2 linked regions of the Neurospora crassa OR74A genome follow. The protein of the gene in region 1 interacts with the protein of each later gene in a pairwise test. Links are inferred from orthologs where the notes say so. Each region holds a gene or a part of one and is shown on either strand. Other genes may lie near its edges.

The links.
Region 2: the proteins of NCU06678 (region 1) and prd-6 interact in a two-hybrid assay, tested with the Saccharomyces cerevisiae proteins (2 studies listed by BioGRID, with this or other methods). The link is inferred for Neurospora crassa OR74A from reciprocal best matches to the Saccharomyces cerevisiae genes XRN1 and NAM7.

What each region holds. Positions count from the first base shown.
Region 1 is NC_026505.1:4,232,169-4,236,436, reverse strand, and holds the start of NCU06678 (exonuclease Kem1), read left to right. Parts: upstream 1-1,464; 5' UTR 1,465-2,029; coding exon 2,030-2,034; intron 2,035-2,119; coding exon 2,120-2,213; intron 2,214-2,281; coding exon 2,282-2,588; intron 2,589-2,647; coding exon 2,648-4,268. UniProt on the Saccharomyces cerevisiae protein: Multifunctional protein that exhibits several independent functions at different levels of the cellular processes. 5'-3' exonuclease component of the nonsense-mediated mRNA decay (NMD) which is a highly conserved mRNA degradation pathway, an RNA surveillance system whose role is to identify and rid cells of mRNA with premature termination codons and thus prevents accumulation of potentially harmful truncated proteins.
Region 2 is NC_026505.1:5,327,023-5,330,024, reverse strand, and holds the end of prd-6 (ATP-dependent helicase NAM7), read left to right. Parts: coding exon 1-1,241; 3' UTR 1,242-2,488; downstream 2,489-3,002. UniProt on the Saccharomyces cerevisiae protein: RNA-dependent helicase required for nonsense-mediated decay (NMD) of aberrant mRNAs containing premature stop codons and modulates the expression level of normal mRNAs. Also capable of unwinding double-stranded DNA and translocating on single-stranded DNA.

The DNA of each region.
Region 1 (4,268 bases):
TTATTATAGGGTTAATATAGATAATTTTAACGGCCTCTACGAACTACGGATTCTAGATTGATATTTTGTTAATACTTCCTTAAACCCGATGAAGAATATTAAAGAGGTTAGAAATTGGACTTTAAAAGATAGTTGTGGCTAGTATAGAATGCCTTCGCCTGGGTTCGAATTCCCAATAGAATACCTCGATAAGTTTTATCTCTCTAGGGAGGAATAGTTCCAGAGGATGTTCGTTGCTAATGGTTAGTATAAGTAAAGCTTGTAATTATATGCGTATTGGGCTATAGTACCCCTCGATCTTCCTTAGGTTATTTTTTTTTTCTTTTTTTTTTTTTTCTTTTTTTATATTATTATCCTTAGGTTATTATTTACAACTAGTTTCATGTGTTGTCTTTATTTAGAGCCGGAATTAAAGTTTTTTATTTTTTTTTCGTTATACTTTCTTATTGTTATATTTATATTAAGGAATATATATTTTATACTATTATATCGAAATAGTCCTAAAGGAGGCGTATTTGGGGTAGCCTGAGGTGAATATTCTTATTGGCTACCTATACGGTACCCGTACTCTAATTTTCTTATATACCTAGGTTAGAGTTTTAATTTACAATTATTAGAAAGGGAATAATAGGAATTACTTCTATAAAGAATACCCGCCACTTAGGTAGCTTAGATAAGTAATTTAATATAGCGCTTTCTCCCCTACTACCTACCTCTATCAATATAAGTGTAATATTGATTGAAAATTGCTGTGAAATAATTGTAAGGCTTTTGTTACTTAGAATAGATATTAATTGTTGAATAAATAAATATAATTAAACAATTATTATATTAATAAGAATATTAGCTTGCAATTAGCAATTTAAGTGAGTATATTTATTATGTTGTATATTTTGTAGTTCGGGTCGTATTGTTGTGGTACAGTTCGCTGTTGTCGTACTTTTGTGCGCTGTTGAACGGTTAATTCCGTTTTGTATACAATACCGCGTTAATAGTCGTTGTACTATTAATTAAAACTACGTATTGTAAAATAAAACCAACTTCAATACAACAATATTCAATTATCTAGTAGATTACAGTAAGAAACAATATTGTGTAAGGATGTTGTAGCCCACAACCCCTGCTCAAGCGTTTTATACTATAAAGGCCTGCTACGCCCACTTTTGTCAGACCCCCCATTCCCTCCAGGGCAGTTCCGTTCCGCTCGTCGAGGGCGGAGGCTCGCTTGAGGTTCGTTACCTTGAGGTTCAGTAGTAGCTGGTGCGGGGAGAGAGCTGACAGTGACAGCCGGGAGCCTGATGAGGTGGCGGAGCGCTCACTACTGGCCTGGCCTGGCCGGGCCGAGCGCTAGTACCTAGCTCTAGAGGTACCTCTACCTCTACGACCGACGCTCACGCCGCCCCCAGGCACACAGTCAACCCGCGTGGGGCAACGGAGGCCAACTAGAAACTGCAGTGTGTCACAGCCTGAACACCTAGCCAGCCCGGAGCCCAGGACCCGACACCTTCTCCGTCCCATCCACACCTCTGACGGACCTTCCACTTTTGTTTCTCTTGCGGTTCCATCTCGTAGACATCACCCACTTCTTCCTTTACCTCCGTCTATCTCGAACATAGGCCGCCAACGTCCTAGGCCACTCCTCGGATTCTCAACCTTTCCGCTTTTCTTAGCACTATAGTAGCTTCTTTTCCCGATTGGCGCTGTCGGTTGCTCCAAGGACACTCCTCTTCTTCCCTTCCATAGACAGCATCTTCAGTCTTGGACCTTGCTGCTTCGTCCCCCCTCGGTTTATTGCACCATTGCGATCCCTGGAGGCTTCGCTATCTAGAAACCCGGCCATTATTATTCAGTGCCGGCATTTGAACGACCAGCTTGACGCCTCTCCTTCGCCCCCTGACAGCAGTAACTAAGTAGACTCCCCGTCTGCGACATCTCCTGCGACCGCTCAGCGCGCCCCAATTTCAGACCTCCTTCGCAAACTTCTAGTAGTGTACACATCTAGTCCGGCACCACAGGCCACTTAGTCAACATGGGGTATATGACTCCCACATCAAAGCTCCTCCCTCGCCGTATACGCGCGCGTTGTTCAGGCGTGTGGCTAATACCCCCTCTTGTCCAGTGTTCCCAAGTTCTTCAGATGGCTCTCGGAGCGGTATCCCGCCATTTCTCAGCTCATCGCCGAGAACCGTATCCCCGAGTTCGACTGCCTTTATGTTCGCTGCTCCCTCCCGAGGCCTGATGGCTGTCTTGCGTTACTTGCCTAGCTAACCGGTTTGCTCAGTTGGACATGAACGGTATCATCCACAACTGTACCCATAAGGACACGAGCGATGTACAATTTCGCATGACAGAGGAGGAGATGTTCATTGCTATATTCAACTACATCGAACATCTCTTCGGGAAAATCAAGCCCAAAAAGCTTTTCTTTATGGCTATAGATGGCGTTGCCCCTCGCGCAAAGATGAACCAACAGCGTGCTCGTCGTTTTCGTACCGCGCTGGACAATGAGAAGGCTAGAGATAAGGCGATTCGTGAGGGCAAGGAATTGCCCAAAGAAGAACCTTTCGACAGTAACTGCATCACACCTGGTATGTCTGGCGCTGGTGCCCGCTTGAATGTTTTCCCCGGAGGCTAACTAGCTGCATAGGAACCGAATTCATGGCCAAGCTCTCGCAACAGCTGAGATATTTCATCCATAAAAAGGTCTCGGAAGACAGGGACTGGCAACAGCCCGAGATTGTCTTGTCTGGACACGAGGTCCCTGGTGAGGGTGAGCACAAGATCATGGAGTACATCCGCAATGCGCGCGCTCAACTCGACTATGACGCGAACGTCCGTCACTGTTTGTATGGCCTCGACGCCGATCTGATCATGCTTGGCCTCCTCAGCCATGACCCTCACTTCTGCCTTCTGCGCGAGGAAGTTACCTTTGGCCGCGGCCCGTCTAAGCATAAGGCAAAGGGACTGGAGGAGCAAAACTTCTATTTGATGCATCTCTGCATAGTCCGCGAGTACCTGGAGCTGGAGTTCCAGGATCTCAAGAAACCTGGAGCCATGTCTTTTCCATTCGATATGGAAAAAGTTATTGACGACTTCATTCTTATGGCATTCTTTGTCGGAAACGACTTCCTTCCCAACCTTCCGCGGCTTCACATCAATGAAGGCGCTCTTTCGCTCATGTTTAGGATCTACAAAGAAATTCTTCCGCGCGGCGACGGATATATCAACGAGGGCGGTAAGGTCAACCTCCAGAGACTCGGCCTGCTTCTGGAAGAACTCGGCAAGGAGGAGTATCGCTTTTTCGAACATGAACATGAGGATCAAAGCTGGCTTCGGGCCAAGAAGATGCTTGAAGATAACGAGGCAGAGACAGCAAAGGCAAAGACCAAGGGCAAGCTCATCGTCACCACGAACCAGAAGAATCTCTGGAAGCAGAAGATCAGGAAATTCCTTATGAATAGGAGCACTAATACGCTTGACCTCGGTACCGAGTTGAAGGCCGAGGACCGCAAGTTTGTCCAAGACTTGGCTGATACTGCTCACATTCCTTGGGCAACTAAGGAAGATGACGAGGGACACCGCCACCTAATCCTGTCCTTCCCCGAGAGAGACGACGAGTCGGAAGAGGACGAGGAAGCCCAGTCAGCCGTTCTCCGTATCATCAAGAAGTACGACAACGCCCAAGTCCTGGATTTAACTGCGGCCGACTCGAAGGCTGCCATGGAGGTTAAATACCAGCAAAAGTTCCAAGAGTGGAAAGACAAGTACTATGCCGAGAAGTTTGAGGATTGGACCCCAGAGAACAAGGAGGACGAACTCCGCAAGTTGACGGAGAATTACGTCCAGGGTCTTCAATGGGTGCTCTACTACTACTACCGTGGTATTGCTTCTTGGCCCTGGTTCTATCGCTACCACTACGCTCCCCTGATTTCCGATGTCATGAAAGGCCTGAAAGCCGACCTTAATTTCAAGATGGGTCAGCCGTTCAAGCCATACGAGCAGCTGATGGGTGTCTTGCCAGACCGCAGCAAAAAGATCGTGCCGACAGCATATTGGGATCTTATGACAAACCCCAATTCTCCCATCATCGACTTCTACCCAAGAGACTTTGAGCTTGACATGAATGGCAAGAAGATGGATTGGGAAGCCGTTGTCAAGATTCCCTTCATTGACGAGAAGCGGCTGCTTGCAGCAATGGGCCCCAAGAACGAACTTCTCTCGGACGTTGAGAAGTCGAGGAACGATTTTGGCGTCGCACTCAAGTTCAC
Region 2 (3,002 bases), about 1.1 Mb from region 1:
TTCGCTTGAAGGTCCAGTATCGTATGCATCCTTGCCTCTCTGAGTTCCCCTCCAATATGTTTTACGAAGGATCGTTGCAAAACGGCGTCACTGCCGCCGAGAGACTTCGCAAGGATGTTGATTTTCCCTGGCCGGTCCCTGAGACTCCCATGATGTTCTGGTCCAACTTGGGCAACGAGGAAATATCGGCCTCGGGCACATCGTACCTCAACCGGACTGAGGCTGCCAATGTCGAGAAGATTGTCACACGCTTCTTCAAGGCTGGTGTCAAGCCTGCTGACATCGGTGTCATTACGCCGTACGAGGGTCAGCGCAGCTACATTGTCAATACCATGCAGAACACTGGCACGTTCAAGAAGGAATCCTACAGGGAAGTTGAAGTCGCTTCCGTTGATGCCTTCCAGGGTCGAGAGAAGGATTTCATTGTGCTGTCCTGCGTTCGCTCCAACGAGAACCAAGGCATCGGTTTCCTTTCGGATCCCCGTCGTCTCAATGTCGCCCTCACCCGTGCCAAGTACGGTCTGGTGATTATTGGTAACCCCAAGGTTCTCTGCAAGCATGAGCTCTGGCACCACCTTCTCGTCCACTTCAAAGACAAGAAGTGTCTCGTCGAAGGTCCCCTCACAAACCTCCAGCCTTCCCTCTTGCAGTTTGGCAGACCTCGCCAGGCCTACCGGCCGCAACGCAGCCACACTCAACATGTTGCCAGCGGTCCCTCTAATGGCCGGTTCGCTGCTCCCTTGACTGCCGGCTCCGTCAGGGATTATGAGACTGGTTCTATGGTCTCGTACATCCCGGATGATGTCTCCTCCATCCACAGCTCCGCCCTGGGAGGTGCTGCTTTGAGCTCTGGTTACCCTGCCATGTTCTCGAACTTCCACCCTGAGGCGTGGGCTGGTTTGCCGTGTGCTGGTCCCAACGGACGCCCAGGCGCCAAGGGCCGTGGTCGTGCGACAGAGAGCATCGCAGGCGAGAGCGTCGCCAACAGCGAGTTCACTGATGCCACTTCCAGTGTCATCGGCGGCAAGGGTATCGGACAGGGCGGCGCGAGTCTCGGTGCTGGCCTTAGCGAGGCCATCGGATCAGCCCGCCCTACTTCTTACAGCCAGAGCGATCGCCTTAAGCAGTATGTCGAAAGCAATGGTCGTATGGGAGTCGGCAACGGATACCGCCGTTACGATGACGACGAGAAGAGCGTCAGCACTGCTTTTGCCAGTCAGATCGGGACAGGTTTCGATTGAGCCATTAGATCCTAGGCGTTGTTGGTCTCCCTCTTCCTCTCGTGGAAGCGCACGACACAATGCTTATAGTTCTCTTGAACCTAAACGGCGGTATAGCATATGGACCTATTATGTGTCACTTGGTGAGCACGACAGACTTATTCTGTTGACACGCTACCGATAGCCTTCGGGCTGGCGGGCAGAAGACAACTTACCCTTCTCCAGCTTGGATTCGCCCAACTGAAGCTGCAAGGAGTTGTTGCTGCTCTCTGAAAGCCAATCCTTCACATAGGCTTCTTCAAGGTGTGGATGATCAGCCTACATACCCTCTGCGCAATAGTCTCGTGCAAGCTGAACCCCAAGCATACGGGAACAAGGCATCTTCACACACCTTCGTCTAAGGTTGCACATCAAATCAGACGTGCATACGGACTCAAGCAACGGACGGGTATCCAAGGAGGGTTTTGTCATCGTTCGGATGTACGGAGCCGGATGAGGTCGACCCACACTTGGTATTGGGGGAAAAACGTTGGGTTAGCTGGCGGTCGAATTTGCATGGTTGCGGAAGCGCCTGGTCAAATGCGATCTACCCAGGAAGAAGTCACCACTCGATCTGTTGCTTCCGGGCAGGTGGAGAGTTGGATATCTTCTTTCGTGGTAGAATGATGACCGAATGAAACGGCAAAGCCTGCAAGTCAATCAACGCAGAGAGTGGTTGGTTTACACCGATACGCTCACTCCATCCAGTCTTAAGCTTTCACGTACCACCAGCCAGCCTGAGTTAGTCTTTTTTCACTTCGTTTTCAAGCGTGCTTCACTGGGACTCACTCGTCCAGGCTCACTCGTCCAGGCTCACTCAATCCCATACCCTCCTTAAAAGAGAAGTTGTCGGTTGATAAGCCTGGACAAATCCAGTGAGCACTGCGTTTGATAGTTAGTTGATATTCGTCCCTCTGGACTTCCTAACCAAAGTCACTCATTATTTTATGACCAGAGATGGGGTAGAGATAGTTTTCAAACAGAAAAGAGAGATGGGAGGAGTCTCAACATGGACAAGAAAGGAAAAACAAGAAAATCAAAAAAAAAGAAAGGCAAGAGAAAAAGAAAGAAACAGCGTTGGAAATTATCAGATAGAGAGAGGGTAACGCAAGAGGAGTAGGTGTGAACGGTCATAGCTATTCACATATACTTACACTGGGAATCTGGAAACGTATCATGGGTACCTACCTACTTATTCAGATAGCTTATTTGAACTTCGTTTCCCGCTGGTTTTAGTAATTTTCTCCGTGACACGAAGATGGGTGAATGTTGTGTATGACGGTTGTTGACCGAGTTGCCCAACCATTGTGAAGACTGAAAACCCTCTATCATGAGCTGACGATTTTTGTTCTTTCCAAGAACGTGGTATTATGTATATTACTACAAGTGATTCTTTACTCTAGAAGCTTATGTACTCTTGTTTTCGTACCTGCTTTACGTTTCTCTCTCCCTCTTTCTCTCTCTCTTTACTAGCCAATTGGTATCTCTGTTTTGCTTCCTCTTTGACCTTTGTATCATCCATCCCATCTCATCCCATCTCATGCAGCCACATATGCTGCTTGCATCATCCTCCTCTTCGGTGAATTATTGTGATTTTTTCTTCGTCAACTTTTTATATGGGGGTGGTCACAACATAAGGAACCGGCTCAATTAGCCGGACTTGAAAGAGCGTGTCCCCAGGACAGCTGTTGTCTTGTCTTTGGCGTGGCGGTCAATGCACCCACCCACCCACTTACTTCGAAT